Linked DNA regions of Medicago truncatula. The protein of the gene in region 1 interacts with the protein of each later gene in a pairwise test. Links are inferred from orthologs where the notes say so. Each region holds a gene or a part of one and is shown in the gene's direction. Other genes may lie near its edges.

Region 1 (6,240 bases):
ATTAATGGGACTTGGGCACTATTTTTTAGCAATAAATTGGTTTTTGACGACGAAAAAGAAAGTACTACCTCCGATCATATTTATAAGCAAAAAATAGCTTTTTAATTATATATTGAATAATTAATGTATCCGATCATATTTATAGATCAAATGCATTAATTATTCAATGTACTTAAAAAGTTGTTTTTTGCTTATAAATGTGACTAGATGAAGTATGTTTTTAAAGAATATTTTTATCGAAAAAAAATAGCGGAACTTACTTGTATTATATTGTTGAGTGTGAGTTAAAATCTCATTATATATAAAAGAGAAGATTTTGAAAAAGTTTTTTTTTGGCCTCGCATGCTAGGCATATGATGTTTATGAGCGCATAGGCTTGTACGTTGTGCATGTTGTTAGTGATGCGCTTGGCGCATGGCTCGGGTTTTGGACCTCTATTTAAACTTTCTTCTTGTTCTTTTTGTATAATCCTTGAAGAACCAAATGAATATACTCTTGGAAAACGACTTATGCCTTTTGGGAGAGATTCTAGGGGTGGGAAACACTTTTATAAGAGGGTAAATGAGAGAAATTTAAGAATGTTCTTGAGAACATTGGGAGCTAGATTTCTTATGACTTTTGTAATTCTCTTGTTCATGAGAAGATAGTGGAAAATGGTACGATTAGGTTTGGTCTTGGAGAGTTTGTGGAAAACTAATTTATTGTGTTTGTTTAAAGTTAAATCTCTTTGTAATGACTCGTTGATATTAGATTGGAGATATGGCCACACCCTTGTTAGCATTTTTCCTCTATTTTTAGTGCATTAAGTACCGAAAAAATCAAAATTATGTGTAGGTCATTTATATATTTACATGTACACAAGGCTCTAACCATCCCAAATCCCGATGACATTTATCGATCAATTTCATAGTATATAAATGAATTCATATATTGAACTTAAAATTTTCATCTTAACTAATTGATTTTGATCTGTAGAAAGAATATAAAAACACCTTGCCATGTTGATTCAATCATTTTTTATATGCAGTAAGTAAAAAAACTATATAACCTAACTAATGAGAACTGAGAATAAAATAATAACTTAAACTCTTGATAGAATCTCTCCCTCTCCAATAAGCCGGCCCTAGTTTTCTCTCTCTAAGTTTTCTCTTACAATTTCTTTATTGAGGGGTGACTTTGGGTCAATACTTGACCTGAAATCACCCCTCTTCATCTTTTTCTCTTTATTTCAATTTAAATAAGTGATTTTCACATAGATCTAGGTTTTTTTTTCTTTGTAATTTCATCATCTAAGTGTGGTGATTTGTTGTTCGTCGTCTTGTGCGGCGTTGTTTGATTTCCCGTCTTCGTGCGGTGTTCATTTGATTCATATTGAAATATCGATTGTTCAATCAAAGATTTGGGCATCAACGTTGCAGATCCGGAGACAATGGATATTCCGGTCACTTTAATTTCATCATATATTTGTGTAGGCATTATGCCGTTATATGCTATTAACTTGGATGTTGTGAGTTTGTTCGCAGATTCATCCTTTACGTTTTTAGCGGTGTTGAATGATGTAATCTCTCAATTTGAATGTTTGTTATATCCACTAAGTTATAGTTTATAGTTTTTTTAAGGGAGTAGTTTATACTTATATCTTGTCAAATTTTATATATATAATGTATGTATAATTATATTGTTAATTCAAAGAACTACGACGGAAAAATTCCCAGCTACTCAAGAGTACTCAATCATATGCTAGTAGGGAAGTGAGAATTATTGCCCGGCCACTCCTCATGTCGCTTTGGGAAGTGAGAATATGTTTAACCAATACGAATGAAAATGCACATACACATTTCTATATACATTTGAATCTTTGATTGGTTATTATATAGTAATATGCATAAGACATGGCTCCACTTGAGGAGTCCATATAAACTATAATAATACACCAACAGAGTCAATTTGGATAAAAAGATTAATGAAATAAAATTTTAAGGCTATATCACGAATGCATGGTCTATACGTTGAGTATTAAAGTAGAATTTGGGAAATTGGTGCTACAGTTCCTAAAGTAGAGGAGTGGATATTATGGGGTTCGATCCGATAAGGAAACTATTTTTGAAAAATATTTATATGGTCATAAGATTATAGACACAAGATTTAGCTTATATTCAAGGTTTTGTTTAATATATTTGTATATAGGATCTAATACATCTTTATAAAACGGGTAACTCGTTTTTTAGATGAGATGTCACTTCTCACAAATTTATGTCACGCTTTATATTATTTTATGTGAGAATATTTTTTGCAATACACCGCACCCCTATTTAACTTGATGCATGTATTTTTTTTTTTAAGCGACTTGATGCATGGATCTAATTTATGGTGTTCCAAACCAATATACATATATGTTATGTAATTCGTCCTTACAAAATTGGTTTATAAACACGTTTTAAACTTTAATTTTATTTTATAGTATACTTAGTTTTTCTCAATATGGTCGCCATAATAAGTCCACATCTTTCCCTACTCTTGCATTTTTTCCTCATATAAAAATCTGTATCTTGAAAAAGCAAATAAAAGGGGTTCCATCTTCAAGTTTTGGGATTGGAGGAATCTTTTTGCATTCATTCCTCACTTCACTAACTTTAATTGATGAAGGCCACCGAAAAGTGAGAACACCTTATGATGAAAGTAAGAAAATTTTAAACGACCCGATTTGACGGGCCAACCTATAAACTCCTGTGTCCACACACGTTTACATCCTCTTCATTCATTCTGATTCAGATATGTGTACAACATTCCCTTTCTTGAGTGTCAAAAATAATAGGGAAAGAGAAAGAAAAAAAAAAAGATAAATTAAAAGTAAAAAAATGTGTGATATTTGATTTGATGAATGAAAAGGTTAAAACAAGAAGAAATTTTAAAGTCATCGACATGAGAAAAGAAAAGAAAGGTGTGATCACCGTAAACCTTTTTAAAGATGTTCTATTGCTTTTTATTATCAAATAAATTTAAACATATTTTGATCTTAATACATTCTATCATGTGCTAACAATATATAGTTTTTTTTTTTTAAGGAACAATATATAGCTTTATTGCCTCTCAAAAATTAATATATAGTTTTATTACGCATATATACAACTAATAATTAGACATAGCAACAAAGCCCATACATGGGGTACTCGTTCGAACCAAATCTAAATTGATGAGTTTTACCTGCTTTGATTGAGTTTGGGTTATCCCCGATTTTAAAATACAGATACGGTACAGGTAATGCGGATATAAGTACTCACCCCGAACTCATAACCATACCTGAAGGTAAAAAATCAATTTATTATATCTTTTATATAATATAAACTCAAATCCTAAATCATTTCACTAACACGATCAAAGTCTCAGTATTCATTTCTCAAAGTTTTCTCTCTTCTCCTTCCACATCTCACACCCTGAGTATCTTTCTTCTCCGTCACCATAGCAATCAATCACCATCATTTATTTGCAGGATAATGTATTACAACATTGAGTTTTGGGCTGAAAAATACATTTTTTTATTAAAAAAAATTATCCACTACGGGGATGGGGATGAGATACCCGAACCTGTCAGGGACGGAAATGAAATTTGTTTTCTCATCCCCGTTGGATATAGGTAAGATAACGTGTAAATATTTGAGATTAGGATATGAGGACAAGAAAGGTAAAAATTGTCTCCACCCCGCCCATTGCCATGCCTACTAATTAATAATCAAAATACACTATAATAATGTCATTTTGCTATATTAGTTACTAAGTTTTTCTATATATAAAATAATGAAATATGAATGAATGTACCAGTGATAAAGTTTTACAATAATTTTAATAGTGTATAAAAATCAAATCCAAAGGTTGTTACTCATCTGGCAGCTGGAATGAACCCAGGCACAGTAGTATTCTCTGAAGGTACAAAATGTAAGTTACAGTATTTGATTTGATTTGAAGAATTTTGTCGTGTTTTACTTTTGGTTTAATTTAGAGAGGGAAAATCAAAAGTCAACTGCACCTCATCATTTGGTCTTGGTTCTTACACGCAACACCTCATTTCCCACTTTGTATACTTTTCACTGTTGTTTTGTTTTTCTCATCATCATAATTTCCATTCATTCATTCTCTCTATATAATCACATTCCCTGTCATTCATTTCTTCATCACACCGTGTGGCAAATTATATTAAACATAAACATTATGAAGGTGCATCAATTCACACGTGGATTTTGGGAGCATGAACCTTCCCTCACACTTGGTTGCAAGCGTTTACGTCCTCTTGCACCTAAAATTTCTTCTAATAACACCGATAATTCTACTACTAACACCCCTTCTCTTTCTTTTGATCTCAAGAGTTTCATTAGACCCGAAACTGCTCCCAGAATTAGTCTTTCTTCCTCTGATGATAACAAGAAAGATCCACCTTCACCACAAAGCCAGGTTCATATACTAACCTCTACTTAGTTTCATTTCCATTTCTTTTAATTAACCATGCAGTAGAGTGATAATTAACTCACGTGTGCATATAATGCATTAAAAAATTTAGTATAATCAAGAACAACATAAATAATTCACATTAACTTCATGTAATATATAGGTATATAGGGTAATAACATATTTCTGACTATAATACTTATAAACTTCAGTTATCAGATGTATCTATATTTAATGTCTGATAATTCTTCTAACATGAACTTGCTCTTTTTCCATATAAGACTTGAGTTACATGAAAAAAATATTAAACGACCAATTTTTTATTTATTTTTTAATTAAACGAACAATATTTGTCGTTTAAAAGCTTTTGATTTGGCGATTATATGTTAATATGTATTATTATTTGTGTATGTATAGGTTGAAACGCATATTCCAGGAGGGACAAGATGGAATCCAACACAAGAACAAATAGGAATATTGGAGATGTTATACAGAGGTGGAATGAGAACTCCAAATGCACAACAAATAGAACAGATTACAGTTCAACTTAGCAAGTACGGTAAAATTGAAGGGAAAAATGTGTTCTATTGGTTCCAAAACCACAAAGCACGCGAGAGACAAAAGCAGAAACGTAACAGTCTTGGCCTTCCTCATAGTCCTCGAACTCCCACCACCACACTTGTGTCTATGTCCCCCACCTTTAGTACTATTACAACTTTGGACACCCCAAAAAGGGTATGTTCGTATTCAAATAATATTCAACTCAACCTATATATCGTGGTTTCGAAATGTCGTTGCAGATACCTTAAAATCCTTTATATTGTCGACGCAACTATAGTCTTGGACCATAATTTAAAACCATGAACAATATGTATATACTAAAATATATTTTTGTTACTAGGTTATTAAATTTTGTATATTTAATTGAATATGTTACATTTTTTGGATAGGTGCAAGTAATGGAAAGAGATCAAGAAGATAGCCCATTGAAGAAGAGTAGGAGTTGGCCATTTGAGTATTTGGAAGAGAAAAATTGGTCAATGTGCAAAGTAGAGGAACATAAAACTCTAGAGCTTTTCCCATTACACCCAGAAGGCAGATGAAGGAGTTTGATCTATAACAATTTTTAGCTTTTTCTTTCCAAAATGTGCTTTAATTTGCTTTAGTAATTTCTTCTTTCATTTACATTGGGAAAGAAGAAAGACAAAGATGTTGTCACTACTGTATCTTTGTACTCTTTTCACGTAATGTTATAATTCCATGACTTTGGAGCCAAATTAACCAAACTTATTTGTCACCCTTTTTTCATTTGTTGATTTCAGCGTAGTAGGTGTGACTTTGGAAAATATAAATCCTTTTTTAGACGACATAAGCTTGTGAATCGAAAGCTTTTAGGTTAAAAGGTGAAGCTATACAGACACTGAAGTCCACGCACCTACTTCTACTAATCTTATCTTAATTAAGCATTCTACTAATCTTATCTTAATTAAGCATGTACTATACTCTCATATTTTAGGTTTAAATTTGAATAAAGCATGTAATTGTCCTCGATCTAGCCGAAATCTTAGATAATAATCACACCGGATACTCCACTCACACTATAGATCAAACTTTCATAAAGCAAGGCCAAATTCAGTTATGAAAGGGTACACGAGTCCATTTATTTTTTTCATCCTTGACATGCAAATAATTTAGGCTTATATTTCAGATTCCCAGTGCTTTGGTAGGGCCAATGATTAACCCACCATGAGAATTGGGAGGGAAAGAAAGATCAACAATTTGAAAAATTCATAATTAAAG
Region 2 (6,576 bases), on another chromosome or scaffold:
TTTATGCGTTTTTTTTTTCTTTTTTCTTCTTTTTGCGATTTAGAGTTTTGTTTATGCAATTTTATCATACTTCATTTTGTTGATCATGTATTGGATTTCAAGTAGGATTTTTGTTTTGTTTTTGTTTTATGCAATTTCCGTGTTTCATGTCACAGGGATATACATAAATTGAGATCATGTATGTTTACGTTAATTCAATGCAAGTAGGCATACATGAACTAAGTTCACGTAGTATATGGAATTTCAAATATGTTTACGCAAACTCATGTACACTTACAAAAAATCAGTACAAAGAGAAACTCAATTCAAGTACGTTTGTGCAAATTCAATTAAAGTATGTTTACACAAACCCAATTCACGTATCACATGTTGATTCTAAATTTCTAGATCTTATACAAACTCAGTTCAAATTCATTTTCATAAACCCAGATCACATGCAACTTGTACAATTCACGCATGCTTATGTGAACTTGGTTCAACTAAATTTAATTCTAGTACATTTACATTGAGAGTAATTTGGGTATTATTTTTAAATATTTTGAGTTTGAGGGGTGTGCCACTAGTACAATAAGGAGTGCAACTAGCAAAAATAATATATATTTATCCCAATTTTTTTTTTTTGGGTACAATTTATCCTAAAACTTTAAAACTTATAAAAACAGTTTAACTAAAATTTTAAGAATGAAGAATTTCTTTACACTTTCTAAACAAAATAAATCAGAAATAATGAAGGGATTCAATGTATTCATGATTATATTTATCATCTTGTTATTATAGTTTTTTTACCGACATGAAAATAAATCAGAAATATTTGTGAAATGAAAAAACATCTAATAATTTTTTACGTTTAATAAGAGTGATGATATTTTGTCCCATTAAACCTAATTCAGTTGGTAGGAACATTGCGTAATAAATACAAAGCGGAGGTTCGAACCCTGAATATCCCACTTATATTCACCTGAATTTTTAGATACTAGACTACTTGATAAATAAAAAACAAAAGAGTGGTGATATTTTTTACTAGGAGGAGTGGTGATATTCTGCTATGATAAAATGGTAAAATAAAATGAAACGTATGTATCCCCTCAAAAAAATAAAAAATCAAACGTATATGTATAAAAATTTATTTACATTCTGTCAAAAAAAAAAAAACTTGTTACATTGTGTTTTTTCTAAGAATTGTTTACATTGTGGTTTTATAGTCATTCAGTTAATTTACCATATTGTGATAGTGTAAACAAGTTTTTAAAATAGTGAAATGTGCTCTCTTTAACAGTGTCCAATATATATTCCTTAGTACGTACAAACTCAACGTCATGATGATATACTGGTCATGTATCTAAGAACCATAACGTGCAAGAATGTGAGTCACGAAGAGATGCATACATATAGAGAGAGAGAGAGAGCAATTACATTACATGGGATAAAGGTGAAGTGAAGTCTCGAGAATCAGGATGTGTATTGCAGGACAACATGTGAAATATAGGTCGTGATTTGGAAAATTGTTGAGGTGGTTCTTACTCTTATCTAATCACTAATAAGATCCTACCCGAGGACAAATCAAAATAGAATCCAAGGATGAGTGTCAGAGTTCATTCAAGACAATCACTACATCACTTTGGAAAAGTCTTCATTTGCAAATATTCTACTCACAATCTCTACACCCATCATTCAATCAATATCAATATAAACCCATAAAAACAAGATTAAGGTTTAAGTAAAATGTTGCATTTTTGGTATTTAATTAGTATCGTTTTGATCTCTTAATTAAAATTTGATTTATTTTGGTATCTTAACTTTCCATCCTTACATATTTTGGTCTTTTATGTTAGTTTTAATTTAAAAATGTTGGGTTTTCTTCATCTTCTTATCATCTTCTTCATCTTCATATCATCTCCATCAACATTCAACAACAAAATTCCGAGAAAAATTTCAGAAAATGAAGAAAACCTAATGTTTTTGAATTAAAACTAACAGAAATGACCAAAATGTGTAACAGAAAGAAGTTAAGATACCGAAATAAATCAAATTTTAATTAAGGGACCAAATCGATACTAATTAAATAGTTAAGAGACCAAAAACATAATTTAGCCTGTACTATATTCACAACCAAATGATTGGATATTAACGAGCTTCAACAAAATACAAACCGTTTGACAAAATCCAAGTTTGACTTATGAATGAAATATTGTTTTAGCTAAAAATCTATTTCATTCTAATATATTTTTTTGGATATTTCCTAAACATATATTTTGGCAAAGAAACTAAATTGATTGATGATCTTTAATATAAGAGACTAAATTGTCTGTCGGCAAATTTAAGGGATTAAACTGCTCAATCTATGTACCTAAAAAAAACTGCCAATATTTATAATTTTGGCTGCCAAAATGTTGATTTACTCCTTAAATGTGATCCCAGAAACCATTCAATCCAACAGCATGGGATGATTAAGCTCTTTTTTTTTTGACACGGGGATGATTAAGCTTGAGATTTGTATATATCATTTATCCTAAATATGAATGTATTTTATTTTATTTTCTTAAGTAAAAGATAAATATACTCAATGAATCATCGTGACCAACTGTTAACTGACCATGCAAATTGGAGCTCCAAGAAAACTGTGTGACCCGTGAACACCACAACAATAAAGAATATGTAAAATGAAATAGTCAAACAAAATAATCAATGGAATGTAAATATGCCCACCCCCCCTTAAACCGACGTAGAGATCTAGAAAGTCTCTTTAATTTTGTAAAAAGCTCTTTAAAATTAATTTGACTCGAAAGTAAGGGTGTTCACGGTGTGGTTTGGTTCAGATTTAAGCATTAAAGTCATCCAAATTGTGAGATAGAAAATCATGCAGTTTGATTTGATTCGGTTGATTTTTAAAAAGTCATCCAAACCAAACCAATGCGGCTTGGATTGGTTCGGTTGGTGTCGTTTATCGTGAGATAAAAAATAAGTTTAAATGTGTCATTGGTCCTTGTACTTTCATCAGATTTTGGCATTGGTACCTGCACTTTTTTTTGTTTGGCATTGGTCCCTGCACTTTGTAAAAATATTGGTATTGGTCCCTCTGTTAACTTTCTGTTAAAAAAAAACACAAAACCAACGGAGTGCCACGTGGCCCAATCATTTCACGACACGTGGCACCAATATCAATATTTTTACAAAGTGCAGGGACCAATACCAATAGTTTTGTGTTTTTTTTTAACAGAAAGTTAATAGAGGGACCAATACCAATATTTTTACAAAGTGCAGGGACCAATTCCAAACAAAAAAAAGTGTAGGGATCAATACCAAAATCTGATGAAAGTACAAGGACTAAAGGCATATTTAAACCTAAAAAATATTATGTTAATTCTAATATTGCCGATTTGCTACAAAATAAACACATGACATTTTATTTTGTTGTTTACATGATAAAATAGGACAATACATCAATTGCATAGATCCTAAACTTTTATTTTCAATACCAACAATATATTGTTTTGCCTTAATATAATCATGTATTACATGTGTCATAAACTGGGTAAAATTATATGGTTGATTAAAATAGGTAAAATTATAACTAACAAGATTAAAATCAAATGCAATGTATGTCAAAAATCAAATATGATTGATTGAAGCACAATTAAACAAAAATATCATGGAATCATTGTCACTCATTACTCAAAAGGAAACAAAACAAGTGTATAAAGTTACACACTAATTATAAAGTCACTCATCACAACATATATAGACAATACATATAAGTTACACACAAATTATAACTAACCAGATTAAAACCAAACAAAACTTATATCAAAAATAGATAAAATTAAGAAGAAGCATAAGCCTGAAACAAATTATTGGGGAGAAAAGGAAACAAATTCATCACCGAAAATTAATTGAAGGAGATGGAAAGCAAATAGAATCGAACTTGGGCTATGTAATTGGGCTCGTACAAATTTAAGTAATATTGATTATTCTTGCGGTTTGGTTCGATTGCTGACAAACCGCAAACCAAACCGAACCGCACGGTTCAATGCAAAAGTCATATGAATTCATCCGAACCAAGTGCGGTTTTTTGCAGTTTCGGTTTGAATTGGTTTGGTTTGCGGTTTTTCTATTGGGTTGGTTCGGTTTTGAACACTCCTACTCGAAAGTAAATCAATGTGGATATTTTAGCATTCAACCTTAGATATTTGAGGATACGATTATATTTATCTCTTAATTTCTAAATTTTTTTGAAATGATTATCTTGTATGTGTAGTAAATAAATAATAAATAAAAATATATGTATCTTGTATGTGTAGTAAATAAATAATAAATAAAAGTATATGTATCTTGTATGTGTAGTGAATAAATAATAAATAAAAATATATGTATATAACTATCCATCATGCGTTAACACCATGCACACTTGTACTTTTTAAGTCATGCACATATATGCTGGCAGCACTAAGGCAAAGGCTATTCAAAATAAAATTAAAAACAGAAAAGCCTAAAAATAATTTATTAAAAAAATTATTAGTAAGAATTTTGTGGGTAGAGATGTGAAAAAAATGAAAATGAAGAAAAGAAAAACACGATTTTGAAGAATGTATGTACTGAGTAACGGTCACATGGATTTAGCTACTTCTCCAAACGTGAAAACATTTACACCAACCTCCACCCTTTGCTTCTACATATCCCGCTCCTATAACATGCAGTTCCAAGTATCACTCACCACTGATAATACACACACACCACTACTACTTTCACTTGTTCTGTTCTACTATATCCTCAATATACATGATGGATAATTCCAAGAAATCCCCCTTGAAACCATGGAAGAAAGGGCCAACCAGAGGCAAAGGTGGCCCTCAAAATGCTTCGTGTGAGTATCGAGGTGTTCGTCAAAGAACATGGGGGAAATGGGTTGCTGAGATAAGAGAGCCAAAGAAAAGAACCAGACTCTGGCTTGGTTCTTTTGCCACGGCTGAAGAAGCTGCCATGGCTTATGATGAGGCTGCAAGGAGACTCTATGGACCAGATGCATACCTTAATCTTCCACACATGCAAACACACTCCAATTCAACTATGAAAACTGGAAAGTTCAAGTGGTTGCCTTCAAAGAATTTCATTTCAATGTTTCCTTCTTGTGGATTACTCAATGTAAACGCTCAACCTAGCGTTCATTTGATCCATCAGAGGCTACAAGAGTTTAAGCAGAATGCAGTTGTTGCAAGTCAATCATCATTTTCTAGTTCATCTAATGATCCAAAGGCAGAAGAAATTCAGAAAGTAGACAGCAAGAAGAGTCATACAGAAGATCCTTTGCCAAAGGAAACAATCGTTCAAACATCGGCAAATAAGATGCTTGGAGATCTTCAGGAGGAGAAACCACAGATAGACCTAAATGAGTTTCTTCAACAGATGGGAATACTGAAAGAAGGATCACACTCTGAGCAAACTGAGAGTTCAGGAAGTTCAACAGTGCATGAAGTTTTGCCAAGAGATGATAATGATCAATTAGGAATATTTTCAGACATGAGTGTTAATTGGGAGGCATTGATCGAGATGCATGAATTTGCGGGTATTGAGGAATCAGAAGCCACCCATCTTGAAGCATATGACCCGAATGACCACCTTAATTTCTCAACTTCCATTTGGGACTTTTAAGAAACTTAGCTGATTTGTCAAGAAACGAGGAACCACCTTAGCTAGCTTTTATGGACTTGAAATCTAGTTAGAATTAGATATGATATTCCCTCTAGCCTTAAATATAAGCAAAAAATTACATGTATTTGATCTAAATTTGGACTAAATACACATACTTTTTTGCTTATAGTTAAGGTCGTAGGGAGTACTACTTAGTAGTAACTATGCCTAAGCTATAGATCAGATGGTTTTGGTTCTGCTAGTACTCAATTGTTGTTTGACTTATGTGTGACGAATTTCAATTTATTGACAGCAATGTAAGAGTAGGAAAATAGCCAGGAGGGAGCTTGTTTTAGTAGTAGTAGTAGCAGCAAAGACCATGTCACACTCACGCAATAATTTAACAAATTTAAGATTTTGACAGTATATTTTTAACAGAAGAACTTTCAATTAAAAATGATGTTTATAAGCATCATATATTAAGTATAAGAAAGATTCATAACAAGAAGAGACTAAAAATTCTAATTCCAAGTGATTTTAAAATAATAATATGGAGATCAGGAAACTCTCCTAAATAAAATGGTCTTGTCTACTTTCTTCTATAATACTACTTCAATTTCCTTCAATTCTAAATAGCAAAAGAAGGATTTTAGAAACCTTCACAGATCTACATCACCAAAATCGACAAATTGATCACATCAGAGCTATAACAGCAACCTTCGGGAATTTCGCCTATTCATTCTGGTACTCGGATGCACTCTGATATTCGCCATGCTCTTCAAAATATTCAATCAACCGCTTTAGAAATCCATCACTACTGACTGTCTCAGTGTCACAGACAATACAGCATTGTCTTCTTGCCCGTGTCACGGCCACATTCATTCGTCGGCGATCACTCAGAAAGCCCACCTGAAACGCATATTCAAGTCTCTTCTTTTATTCTTCATGTCA
Region 3 (7,193 bases), on another chromosome or scaffold:
AAAAGAGTGACACGGCCTTGTACAAAAAATGGACTTTTCTGCAAAAAACAACACTTAAGGACTAAACTGTAATTGACCAAAAAAGGACTAAAATGAAAATTGGAAAAGAAACTGGACTGACATGTAATTTTGGGACCTCAATTGAGGGACCAAAATGTAATTAAAAAATAAAATTGAATAAAAAACGTAATTTGACCAAACGTAAAGTGAAACAAAAATAAAACTGACAAAACGGACTAAAACGAACCAATGGCTTAAATGAGGTACTTCAAAGTAACCTCCCCATGCCAAAATTTCATGTGAAATGACCAAAATGCCCCTAGGGCTAAAAACGACCTAAACTGAATCAAATTGACTTGACACTGACTCAGATGCAAGTTTGAAATGAATTTTAACAAAGTTTACTGATGGAAAGTTAAAAATGAATTTGAAAAGACTCAGAGACAGTCACAAGGATGAAAATGGGTCCCACTGCAGGAAATGACCAAAATACCCTTCTGTATGACTTTTTGCAAATTTTGAAATAAACTGTAGAAAAAAGCAATGTAATGATTCAGAGACACTTTTAAATGACTTACAAGACAAGTAAAGACATTTTAAAAGGTTTTATGCAAGAAAAACATAGGTAAAATTGTGATTGAAAATACTGCGAGGCAGAGACAAATTGAACTGTGCAGTTGAAATTTGATAATTGACAAAGTTTGAAATGAAATTGGGCCCAGTATTTTTAGGTCCAAAAACAGGGTATAACACCCACGGTTACCCGTCCGAACCAAACCCAATTTGACGGTTTTCCCTGTTTTGACTGGGTTTGGATATGGGTATGGGTTTTTCCCGATTTCAAAATACGGGTATGGGACGGGTAACGGGTATATAGGTACCCACCCCGAACCCATACCTAAACTCGTCCCAAATGTAAAAAAATTACTTTATGTTGACATGTCATGTTATTTTGTTTGATAATTGTCATGTTAATAAAAACTACCATTGATATTTAAAGGATCAACTAAATCAGTTCGTCTAACAAATGTTAAAGTGAGCGTATTGTTGGATGATGTATTATAACATTGCTCTTGGGGATGCAAAATAACTTCTATTTTTTATTAAAAAAAAATTATTCAATGCGAGAACGGGAATGAGGCGGGGATGAGATTCAATTTCTCATCCCCGTTAGATATGGGTAGGGTAACAGATAAATATATAAGTATCGGGTATGGCGATGGGGAATGTAAAACTCCGCCCCATTGTCATGCCTATTAACATATGACAATCTCTTATTCTCTCATATCACTTCAAAAACACAACAAGAAATATATAATTTATTTCGTTGGACATAAATTAATATAGACTAATACAATTGGACATAATATCATAGTAATGTGTATGTGGTGCAGTTTGGACATAATCGGGTCCTATGTAAGGGTTAATTTCCATTGAAATTGCATCAACTTATATTGCTTTGCTCCTATTTATATTGATTTTTTCTTTAAAAAAAAAATTGGTGAGTAGGAAATAAAGTAAAGGATTCCATGGTCAACATTAATGTCCAACACACAACTCTTAGTAAAATTCAGACAAGCTCAAAACACCTGGATTGTTTTTATCGCCTTAAAATTATCCATAGCTTGCCTTGATTAATTGGTCAAAGTGAGAGACCTTCATATCCTCATTGATCCAAGCTCAAACCTTGAATTTAGCAAAACCTGATTATTATTTTTTTTAAATCTTCTTGTGTTGCTTTTTTTAAAGGTCTCGTTAAAAAATTTGTTTTAGCCCTCTAATGATGCTGGGTCAGTTTTGATTTTCATTTTGTTCAATTAAAATAATATCAAGGAACGACGTTCAAAATAAATAATAAAATATCTATTCACTCAATACAAATTAGTATATAGTCTTCGTTAACTTAGTTCAATTGCTATGGAAATTGCATAATATATACATGGTCAGAGTTCAAATTCAAATACCTACTTATTGACCTAAAAAGATGAATTTCTAACCATTAAACTATTTGATTAAAAAAAATTATATATATTTTCTAGTCTCTATTGGTAATAACATCCACTCTAAAAGACAATCGAATTTTGAGAAACAAATGGGTTGAACTTTTTAACAAATTTAAAGTCAATAATTTTGGTGATAAGTTATATTCAAAACCTTTGGAGGACTCAATGTAAGACCAAACGCAAGCAAATGGCAAGTGATTGATAATTTTAGGATTGACAACAGTTTGGTATTGATTGGGTTGATCATTAAAAATCAAGTTATGATTATGAAGTCGTTATTTTTTCCCTTGCCTTTGGAGACCCGCAGTTAGGCTTACACGGTTGGGTCTTTCAATACGCCTTAGTTGAGATGGACATATGAACTCAATGACGTTGCTATTACCTTCAAAGTCAGCAGGAGTAGGATTAGGTTTTCCAATCTTGTGGGCCTCACTGCTCTAACCACCGTTTGAGAGAGAAATAGCTGTGCCGTCAACTAAGTTGACCTTATTCATCCTTGTAGTTTATTTTTTTTGGAAGAGGCAAAAATATATTTTATACGTCTAAAAAAATAAATCCCTTTCAACAAATTAGTTCACTGATAATCAATCAATTAGGCTCAAGTGATTAATGAACATCATCAAATGACGAATTATTCAAAATAATTTGAGTTTAATTCCTAGATGAAACAATTATTGATCAAACTTTATTTATCTCTTGATCGAACTTCAAATTATTAGAACTCAATTTCTCTAGAAATCGAAGGTTAACACCAATTAGTTCACAAGAATTAAAAAAATTATAGTATTATTAAATGAAAAATAATTAAAATTACTTCAACCATGCACTTGAATAAGATAATAAGAAATCTCTTTCAATTTGACTAAATTGTTAAATAAAAAAATAATTAAATTTATTATGAGAAGTAGTTCTAAAAATGTTGACATTGAAACACCTTATTTAGTGTAAGAATTTACTAGTCTCTTTAAGAAAATTCAAAAAAATGGAGAGAACATGTTTGTATTCTACCTAATCAGCTGAGCAGATTCTCACATCGAATTCTTTCATATAAGATGAGTGGTGATGAAATGGAAGATGTTTTTGTTTTGAATTTGATCATGTTGTTCTGTCAACTGACATATATATTTCCTTCATATTATTAGATGAGCGGTGATGACAGGGAAGGTGTTCCAAGATGTTGTTTTGAGCTTGAACTTATTGTCCATCCAACTGACATATTTCATTTGACATAAGAGCATAATCAAGTTCAAAACAACATCTTCGAACACCTTTTCTTTCATCACCATTCATCTTATATATGAAGGGTTCGATGTGAAAACCTGCAGAGCTCATTAGGAATAATATACAAAACATGTTCTATCCATTCTTTTGAGTTTTCTCAAAAAGACAAATAAATCCTTATACTTTGTTTAAATAAAGTACTTTAATGCCAACATTTCATAAATTTCAATTAATTAAATCAAATTTTACTACAACAACAAGAACTTACGTTAATTAAACTCAAACCCAAATACAACATAAAACAACACAATAATACAACATTCACTAAAGTACATTGCAATACAACTAATAAAACAAACACAAGATCACAAATCAGCCAAACTAACCTCTTCATCTGGTACCTGCATACAAGATGAAGAGATTTTGGGTCGAATAAAATGTTTTTGAATATCTTTGATAGGTCTGGCTAAGGAAGCATCCAACTCGATCAATCATTTAATATTGTACTGACCAAATATAAAAAACATGGTTTTCATGTTATCATTGTTCCTGAACTTCATATGGGTGAACTCAATGCTTCCATCTAAGTCGGTCGATGGACGATGATACTCAACACTTTCTACCATCCTTGTATCTATGTGAATGAACCAACGAGTTAATCCTTCAAGCCAGAAGCTTTGAAAGTATTAACGCAATTTTAGGGTGGCTAGGAGAAAAAAGGTAAGCCTAAATAGTAATTTTCCATGCAGGATACCATTTGTTTGTAACCTAATGGTGACGTCATTGTTAGCCAAAAATGGCTAGTTTCTTCACAAGAAGTTCTTCCATTCAAGGTCTCTTCATTTTAATCTTCTATGTGGGACCCCTAGCTTAAGGTCCAAAGAGGGAGGAGGACGTGCGCTTCAGCATTTAGATTGAAATTAAATTAAATTAAACATTTAAGTTGAAGAAGGGTGATTAATTTCCAAGCTTAACTACCACGTCATTGCTAAATCCCTAGCACTTTCTCTCCTCTTTCTACACCGCTAATTATTATTTATAGTAATGGAAAACCACCACCACCGTGAATTATCCTTCTTAAGCTCCTCCGGCGACTTCCTCCACAACAACAGTATAGATCCTCCGATCAAAGAAATGGATTTCTTCTCATCATCACCTAACAAAAACAATAAAGAAGATGATCTTGATCAACATGGCAGCATCATCAAAGAAGTATCACCATTACCAACACTACTACTCACTCATCATGACCCTGTTAACGTAAACGTTTTAAATATCAATTATATTTATATATATTTTTAATGTAAATTTTGGAAATTAATTCATATCAATTGTGATATTTCATTATATTATATATTAATTTTTTTCGTACAGACTGGATTGAATTTAATGTGTTCAAGTGCTGCAGTTTCAAAAGAAGAAAATCTTGAAAATTCTGAAACTGAGGTTTGTGTGTGTACTATAGACCAAAATTTAACTTTATGTTAATTTATATTTTGAAGAACATATATATTTTGGATTTTTATTTTCTTTTAAATTTGTTATATGTGTGTTGTCAGATGAGTATACTTGAAAGTGAATTGAGGAGGGTGCAAGAAGAGAATCATAAATTAAGAATTATGTTAGAACAAATTACCAAAAGCTATAGCCAACTACAAGCTCAGTTGTTCATCACTTTGCAGAAACAAAAACCAAACCATGGTCAGGTGTGTATGTTTGATATCTAAGCATGTTTCCAACATTTGATTATTAATTTTCATCGTCAATCAGATAAATATTTTTTCTATGCTTTAATTTTATTTTCTCCTATAACGAAATAATGATTTGTTTGTTTCTGGATTTTTTTTTTTTAATGTCTACAACTCTATAAACTTCTTAGTCATCCCTTTCAAAAAAAACTTCTTAGTCATCAATAAAGAAAACAAGGGTAGCGTGCCTCACTTAAATTAGAAACCTTGGCTGTCTTTTTTCAAACTCATTCTTACTATAATATCTATTCAGTTCATTTCTTTGGATTTTTCCACTAGTATAGTCAACAAACGTTTAATACATTACATTTTTATTAATTTTTTTAGGGGTATAATTTTAATTAATTATTTTTCAAATACATATTTTTTTGTTTTATGATATATGACTTCGGTCATGTCAGCCTGTTTAACCCGTTTTTTTTTTTCGAGATTAAGTTGAAATTTTGAAGATGACATTATTGGTTGGTCTGGTCAAACCTACTAAAAATGAGGCAGTGATATTGGGCGGGAGCATGTTGGTCCGTCGGGTCTATTAATAATCTTTTTTTCCATTAATTTTATGGGTCTTATTAACGAGTGCCTCCGGGGCACTCTTTAAGGATTCTAAAAGAAGAAACTTATGTTATAAAAAAGTTAAATATTTTGATTACACATAATTTCATGATAAATTAACATTTAAAGACGTTAACTAGTGTCCGGAGACACCGGTTAACATTTTCCTAATTTTATTTATAAGTCATAATCAACTTTTTATTTCTCTTGTATTTGACTCATAGAGTTGAGAGGAAAAACAACTCATTTAATTAAATCACTTTTTAAGTTTTTAGTCTCATGTTTCTAATATTTTTTGAGTCATTGAACTCATTAACTTCTTATTTTGTTGTTTTATTGGCTTATTCAAGATTTTGTTGCGGTGTATCATAAACTTTTGAATGATTAAATTTATATTTCTTATACATATCTTTTGAATAATTAGTGTAATTTAAAGTAGGCACCAAGTAACAGAACACTGAAGCAATAAAAATTTGACACATTTCATTTAATAGTGCTGAACAAAGGTAATAATATTTGTGGAACAGAATATGGAAGAAAATCATGGGATGGTATCAGAACAAATTTTTTTGAATAATAATAATGCATCGGTTTCGGATGGAAAACAGGCTTGTCCTCATGATCATCCTGCAGAAGATTCCTCACACTCATCCAAGTTAGAAGAACCCACACAAGACCTAATTCCTTTCAAAAAAGCCAGGGTTTCCATACGTGCAAGATCAGAAGCTCCCCTGGTACTATACATTAATATCTTTCACTTTTTATCCTACTACTATTAATAATAATAATCATCACCCGTATTACACCATTGTACAGTTATATTAACTTGGTGAGGCCTAAGCTATTTTTGGTGCATGCATATTGTTTTTTGAAGAGCTAATTCATGTGGTGGATAGATATATAGCTAGCTAGCTAGGCCGGCCACATGCATGAATGAATGAATGTGGAAATTAATTAATATTAGAAAAATGCTAAATAGCTTAGATCAATACATAATATACTAATTATTTATTGATGATTTTAGATCAGCGATGGATGTCAGTGGAGGAAATATGGACAAAAAATGGCCAAGGGTAACCCTTGTCCTCGTGCCTACTATCGTTGCACTATGGCTGTAGGATGTCCAGTTCGCAAACAGGTAATAAATTAATCATATGCTTAGTTTCTTTTATAAATTAATCATATATATATATATATATATATATACTAGTATATGTGCACTTTGTTTCTTGAACAGGTCCAAAGATGTGCAGAAGACAAGACAATACTAATAACAACATATGAAGGCAACCACAATCACCCACTCCCACCAGCTGCAACTGCCATAGCACACACAACATCAGCAGCTGCAGCAATGCTGCTATCAAGTTCAACCTCATCAACACTAAGAAAGGAATCAGCAACAGGTTATTTATCTAATTCATTTCCCTATGCAACAATGGCAACCTCAACCCTATCAGCTTCTCAGCCCTTCCCAACAATCACCCTCGACTTCACACAAAACCATAACCTCTCCATGCATCATAACCGAGTTCCTCTACCATTGTTCTTCTCACACAAGCTACCACCATTACTTCAACTAGGGCAACCGCCACCTTCATCTATGGTTGAGAGTGTTAGTGCAGCCATTTCTTCAGATCCAAATTTTACTACAGCTTTGGCCGCAGCG
Region 4 (6,511 bases), on another chromosome or scaffold:
TTTATAGTACAACCAATCATAGACCGTTAGATTAAGTCATTAAGATATAGTCTTTTAATCTAACGGCCTGTAGTTGGCTGTAGATTATCCTTTTTTGGGGAGTTTTATATAGATATTCAATGTGACCATCCTAATGTGATTGGTAAACCTTGAGACACCGAGTTGAATTTGTATCACAAGGAAACTAGCCACTTTAATATGGTGTCATAGTTATCTTCTGGTTGAAAGCAACCCCACCCCTTAATTTCTTTGCAATATATGTGGTCCTAAACTTATATGACAGTCTAAACTCTAAAGTAGTGGCGATTGAGACAAGTATGCTGCTAAGCTATTGAAAGAAAAGAAAGTTGAAGATAAGTGGGGAGAACGGCATGCATAAATGGAAAAGACAGACAGAGAGAAAAACCATCAAATTTTTGTTAGTGTACTATGTAGGTATAGTGCTTTCAAGTGTGGATGTGGACTATTACCATTTTGAAAAATAAGTTGAGGAAATCATGCTGTGTTTTGGATTACAATTGGTCAATAGGGCTTTAGAGTTTAGAACATAGATGCCGGTGGCAAGTACAAGCACACATGTGCACTATATATTGCACAATAGCAATAATATATACATATATATCTCTATCTTTACAAAATAACAATCTTGGCATTGATAAAGAAAGAGTTAAATCAAGTTATAAGACAAAATTGGTTAATGAATTTTGTTTAAAATTTTAGCTAAAATAATCTCTGAGTCGAATATAAAATTATTAAAACCTCGTAAAAATTAATTAAGACAAAAAGAGATATAAAAGTGGTTACCTAGCTATAAATATCTATCAAGTTAAAGAAGATAAGCACGCATGGGAAGAGGGAACCAATAACTACTACAACATTCTCAAATAGATGTGATGGATAGATATAGATACATCATACATGGACATCTACTATATATCTACAATACTATACACCACAAAGAAAGAGTGATGGTGCATCTCTTTTTGGTGAAAGTGATGTTCTGAGCAACCCCAGTCAAAGGGAGCATATTGGCTAGCTAGCTACAAGTATACTGCATACATATATATGGATGGTTGGTTGGATAGAAATAATAATTGTACTCTCTACTCTCTCCACCACTTATCTCCTTTTAGGGTTTCAAGCTAGATACACTCATACACGTGGGTTTTTTCTTTCTTTCTAAATTTCAAACAATTAATGAATGAATGAAAAATGCATGATAAATATTAAAGAAGACAGAGAATAATAAGAAAATAAACTATTTGAATTGGAGGTCATTATCTTGGACAAATACCTTAATTTGCTCATATGATAAATTCAGATTGCTCTTTAGACATCTAACAATTACTCATAGACATCTAAACATCTCACTGATATATAGTTAATTATCGTTTGAACGCTTTTTAATTCGGTTAAACCGATTTAAAATATATTGAATGATAGTTAACTACCATTTAGCAGAACATAGTTAAATATCATTCGAGGTATTTTTTTAGGTGTCTCTGAATAATTGTCAGGTGCCTAAAGATTACATCAATGAGAAATTAGTGTTATATCACCCTATATGTACTAATTTTGCCATAGTACCATACTATTAGCCGTAAACCCTTATTCTTTCATACTTATTCAATAACGATTTTTTTAATTGTGTTTTTTTTTTTTGGTCAAGTAGTCTAGTGACTAGAGAAATTCACCTTAAAGATGAATAAGTGGGGTGTCCGGGGTTCGAACCCCGGCCGCTGCACATATTGTGCATTATCCCTTACCAAATGAGGTAAGCTCATGGGGACTTGAATTGTGTTATTTAACATCCATTTATATGACAACTTTTGAGACAATTAAAATTTGGCTTAATTGCACTATCTTTGGACCCCTATCTTTCTAAAAGTTGCGGTTATGGCCCCCTAACTAATTTAAATACAAAACAGCCCCCTATGTTTTGATTTTTTGACAGTTTTGGACCCCCAGTCCATTAGTGAGGTGTCACGTGGCCCCCTAAATAATACACATGGCACCTCACTAATGGAGCGGGGGTCCAAAACTGCCAATGAATCAAAACATAGGGGGCTGTTTTGTATTTAAATTAGTTAGGGGGCCATAACCGCAACTTTTGAAAAGATAGGGGTTCAAAAGTGCAATTAAGCCTTAAAATTTTATAAAGAAAATAAGGAATTGACACAAAAAACAACACAATAGAGAGAGAGAGAGAAAGTAAAAATATAATATATGATAGAGAAAATTGTAACAAAAGTTTTAAAAAAATGGTTTTTCAAATATCATTTCTCAATTTATTTACATCTCTCTTTCTACCACATCATAGACAAATCACACAAAATGTCCCTATTTATATCACTCATAGTGTATAAAAGATGTATAAGGGTTGTATAGATGTCCGCCCATCTTTTTCTTTAGTCTAATTGGTTTCCAACATGTTTCAATATTTTCTATTATATATCAAATGAGTAATGATATTTGTACACTCATTTGATGATAATTTTTGTGACAACTTTATTTTTCTCTCTTTTTATTAATCAAAAACAATATATATAGAGAGAGAGAGAAAGAGAGAAAAAAATAAAATAAAGAGATAGGATAAGAATATCATGTAAGTAATAGAGAGAAAATTGTTCAAAAGTTGTCACAAATATCAAATATCATTTCTCATATCAAATATACTTGAGGACATTTTTTTAAAGGGGAGAATGCTCATTCCACATCACCATCTCTTTTTCAAGCCAAACATATATAGCATGCCAAATAGTAATGTCAAAGACAACAAATAGATGGGAAACAAATTCAACATGAACAAATAGGGAGGCATAAACTTCCTCAAATATATAATGTTTGATTCAAGATCGTTGACTCAATTTTATAGTATATACTTATATATACGTCTATATGTATTTTTTATTTGTACCCGTGTCAAGACGTATACTAACGTGTTCATCTTTTCACTTTTTTATTGCGCTTAACTGTGTGTTTGTTTTATCTTATTTTCTTATAAATTTGTTAGAATATATTATAAATTAGATAATGTAAATCTCCACTAACGTTCTACAACCTTGTCTCATTTTGTTTATATTTTTCAATTTTTTTTAAGTACATGTTTGCACATATCCGTAAAGCATCTCCATATATATCCATATACTTTTCTTAAAAACAAAAATTATAATATTTAGGGTTCATTAAGTTTTTAGTCCCTATAAATATTCACAGTTTTATTTTTAGTCCCTACAAAATAAAATCACACTTTTTAGTCCCTGTGATATTTTTCTTTAAGCATTTTAGGGACTAAAAATGTTGATGAAAATTTTTTATAGGGACTAAACATGCTGATGGAAAAATTTTATAGGAACTAAAAATGTTGATGAAAAATTTTATAGGGACTAAAAACAAAATTGTGAATATTTATAGGGACTAAAAACTTAATTAACCCTAATATTTAAGATACATATATTCATGAAGTGTCTCAGTTAAGGAGCATCACACCCCATACTTCTATTCTATACAAGGTCAATGGTTATAAGCTTGGTATACATACATATATAGTAGTAGGAAACTAAAGGTGTGGGTGTGTAAGGGAAGTGATTGAAGAGGGTTTTAGTTTTCTGTCAATTCTCAAGCTGTGCCCACCACGTGAAGTGGCACACACAAACTATAACTTTTTCTATCCACTCACTTTCTTTCATTTTATCTTCCCTAAAGAGGTTATAAACTTTTTGCTCAAAAGCAAACCATATGATCCTTGTCTATAAACATTAAATCACTCTTGTTTGATTCTTTACCTTATTTCATATTTATTATTTATATTTATCTCCTCTTTCTTCTCTCCTTCCTTGCTAATTATACTACTCTCCTCGTAAGGTATTTTTATTTTCATTTTTATTATTATTGTCTATGTGCTGTCATTCTCATACTGTGTAGTACTTTGCATTTTTGAAGAAGCCAACTGTACAATTTATATATAGCATCACTCTCTCACACATACCGTGTATATATATATATACACGGTACTGGCAATGTCATAGAAGTAAAAAATTAATAGTACTTGTCTTACTCATCAAATTATGCCTTCCTTTATTTGCAGGGAGCAGAAAATATACACAAAAATGAACTGAAAAGGATGGAATTAATAGCTGCTGCTCTTACTTAAAGAGGAATTAACATGTCATTCTCAGGCTTTGGAAAGTCTCGATAATTAACAAGCCAAACCAAAATCTATAGCTATGTCTATATATATATATATATATATATTTCATCATCAAGACATGTACTAGCTAGCTAGGGCTATAGTTATTGTTATTATATATAAATAAAGATATATTTATAATATTGTTTGGTGTTGGTGCAGTACTGTCTATCTCAATCTCAATTCTCAACATATTCCAGATATGTATTCTTCAAATAGTTCCCTCAATGGAAATAACCTAGCATTTTCCTCTAAATCACCTTTTTGTTCATTTGAAAGCAACTCAACTTCATCAAAAGATATTGAAAACAGTCATTCCCCCTTTCCTCTTCCCAGTCCTTTCTCTTTCTTTCAATTCCCTAATTATCCTGATGATGATATTGATCCCTTTCAAGACAGCCATCAAATCTTCCTCCAACAACATGATGTTGATTTCCAACTTCATCATCCACCTGTTGTCATGAATAACAACAGTACTGATCATCATCAGCGGCCTTCCAATTCAACAATCAAAGCTAACAACAATCTTCTTCCTGCAGCTGCTGGTAAAGGCAAAACTGTAGTGGATCAGCAGATCCAAAGAAAAAGATCTAGCAAGAGAGACCGACACAGCAAGATCAAAACCGCGAAAGGACTAAGAGATCGGAGAATGAGATTGTCACTTGAAGTTGCAAAGAGGTTTTTTGGTCTTCAAGATATGTTAGGCTTTGAAAAAGCAAGCAAAACAGTGGACTGGTTGCTCAACCAATCCAAACTTGAGATCAAACTCCTTGCAAGAGAGAAAAATGTTAATTTTCCTACTAAGAGTGCATCTTCAACTTCTGAATGTACTGAAGGAGTTTCAAGCTTGGATAATGAAGTTGGAAATCAAGAAGAACCACAACAACAAAAACTTGTTATGAAGAGAAGAAATAGTACTAACAAGGTTTGTAGAAAGAGTGCATTCAATTCTATAGGTAGAGAAAAAGCAAGAGAAAGGGCAAGAGAAAGGACAAAAGAAAAAAGGAAGGCTAGAACATCACTAGTTGATGAATCAAATTCAAAGCAATACAATGAAGAAGGAATAAAAACTAACCTCATTTGGAACCCCTTTGAAAGTGTGGAAGAATCTGCAGGTACACATCAGAGTACTCAAGGTGTGACTCATCCTTCCTTTGATCATGTGAAGCTGATTGATGAGGCTGAAGTAGAAACAAGCTCTCAAAAAGCAAAGGAACAACATTCAGATGAAGATAATTCTTTGTTCATTATGAGCAAATGGAGTCCACCTATGATGTTCAATTCTCTCAATAACCTTCAACAAGTAAGTTCAAATTAGCCATGCATATATATATATATATGAAGCATGTATAATATATATCTGTAATCTGATATATATAAATCATGAAATTGTTTGCAGCATCAATTTGAACAATTTCACCAATCCATGGAAAAACCTTGGGAAGCATACAACAACCGCATTTAATTAACATGCTACCGTACTTGCACCCCTTATCATCACCTCCTCCTTTTTGTGTCAGTCAGGCTCAGAATAAAATGCATTATGCATTGCTGTGTTATTTCTTTGCTTTCCTTTTTGGAATGTTATGTGGTGAGGTATCTTCAGAATTTTGGAAACAATATTTCATAAATATTGTTGTGTGTGTATGTCATCTCTATTTAAAGTGTTGCCACTTTCTTGTTTGTTTCTGTTCTGAGTTCTGACCTTGAAATTGGTACAAGTTTACAATTTATATATGTGTCTCTTGTAAGGGGTATTTTTAATTGATGATAAAGAAAAATAACTGATTGATTTTTCTCCCTATCTGGTGAATATATGCAGTAATTAGTTATATATCATTACATTTTAGTTTTGAAATGGAGTTGAGGTGTGTTCAATTTAATGCTGCTGCTATTGATGTCATATCCATTTACATAACAGTGTTCCTGATCCTACCTGACATATTTCCACATGCTGTAGTTGTTTTTTCTTCTCTCAAAGTCCAACCGTCCCTTGAAGAAGGTTAGGGTTACTTGTCAGATGAGGATGTATTTAAAATTGTTTCCAAAACTATAATATATATTATGCATTTAGCCAATGTTTATAGAGGTCACTTTTTTTGTTTTTTGTTTTAATTGAGAAAGGAGAAGTTTCTATTAATCATGATGACAGTAACTAATGATCATTTTACAACTATTCTAGACGAGATTTAAACTTTGTTCAAATCAAGTTCCTACGACCTAATCGACACGTGAACTATTTATAGGTCACCGATTTAACACTTGGTCATCCGATATATATCTACTTAATTTGGACACATGTAATCCGCTTAGCGGTCTCAA

The links.
Region 2: the proteins of WUSCHEL-related homeobox 4 (region 1) and dehydration-responsive element-binding protein 2F interact in binary tests that used the Arabidopsis thaliana proteins (3 or more experiments, as listed by UniProt). The link is inferred for Medicago truncatula from reciprocal best matches to the Arabidopsis thaliana genes WOX4 and AT3G57600.
Region 3: the proteins of WUSCHEL-related homeobox 4 (region 1) and probable WRKY transcription factor 47 interact in binary tests that used the Arabidopsis thaliana proteins (3 or more experiments, as listed by UniProt). The link is inferred for Medicago truncatula from reciprocal best matches to the Arabidopsis thaliana genes WOX4 and WRKY47.
Region 4: the proteins of WUSCHEL-related homeobox 4 (region 1) and transcription factor DICHOTOMA interact in binary tests that used the Arabidopsis thaliana proteins (3 or more experiments, as listed by UniProt). The link is inferred for Medicago truncatula from reciprocal best matches to the Arabidopsis thaliana genes WOX4 and BRC1.

Annotation. Positions count from the first base shown.
Region 1 is NC_053042.1:5,757,295-5,763,534, forward strand, and holds WUSCHEL-related homeobox 4, read left to right. Parts: upstream 1-4,152; 5' UTR 4,153-4,206; coding exon 4,207-4,446; intron 4,447-4,857; coding exon 4,858-5,175; intron 5,176-5,390; coding exon 5,391-5,543; 3' UTR 5,544-5,737; downstream 5,738-6,240. UniProt on the Arabidopsis thaliana protein: Promotes differentiation and/or maintenance of the vascular procambium, the initial cells of the developing vasculature.
Region 2 is NC_053048.1:43,371,342-43,377,917, forward strand, and holds dehydration-responsive element-binding protein 2F, read left to right. Parts: upstream 1-4,711; 5' UTR 4,712-4,776; coding exon 4,777-5,646; 3' UTR 5,647-6,053; downstream 6,054-6,576. Other genes in the region: DNA-binding protein SMUBP-2, read right to left, coding at 6,358-6,534. UniProt on the Arabidopsis thaliana protein: Transcriptional activator that binds specifically to the DNA sequence 5'-[AG]CCGAC-3'. Binding to the C-repeat/DRE element mediates high salinity-inducible transcription.
Region 3 is NC_053048.1:52,389,173-52,396,365, reverse strand, and holds the start of probable WRKY transcription factor 47, read left to right. Parts: upstream 1-4,161; 5' UTR 4,162-4,268; coding exon 4,269-4,484; intron 4,485-4,598; coding exon 4,599-4,670; intron 4,671-4,783; coding exon 4,784-4,930; intron 4,931-6,051; coding exon 6,052-6,258; intron 6,259-6,548; coding exon 6,549-6,662; intron 6,663-6,761; coding exon 6,762-7,193. UniProt on the Arabidopsis thaliana protein: Transcription factor. Interacts specifically with the W box (5'-(T)TGAC[CT]-3'), a frequently occurring elicitor-responsive cis-acting element.
Region 4 is NC_053045.1:54,389,014-54,395,524, reverse strand, and holds transcription factor DICHOTOMA, read left to right. Parts: upstream 1-4,356; 5' UTR 4,357-4,391; coding exon 4,392-5,492; intron 5,493-5,588; coding exon 5,589-5,654; 3' UTR 5,655-5,993; downstream 5,994-6,511. UniProt on the Arabidopsis thaliana protein: Transcription factor that prevents axillary bud outgrowth and delays early axillary bud development. Indirectly required for the auxin-induced control of apical dominance.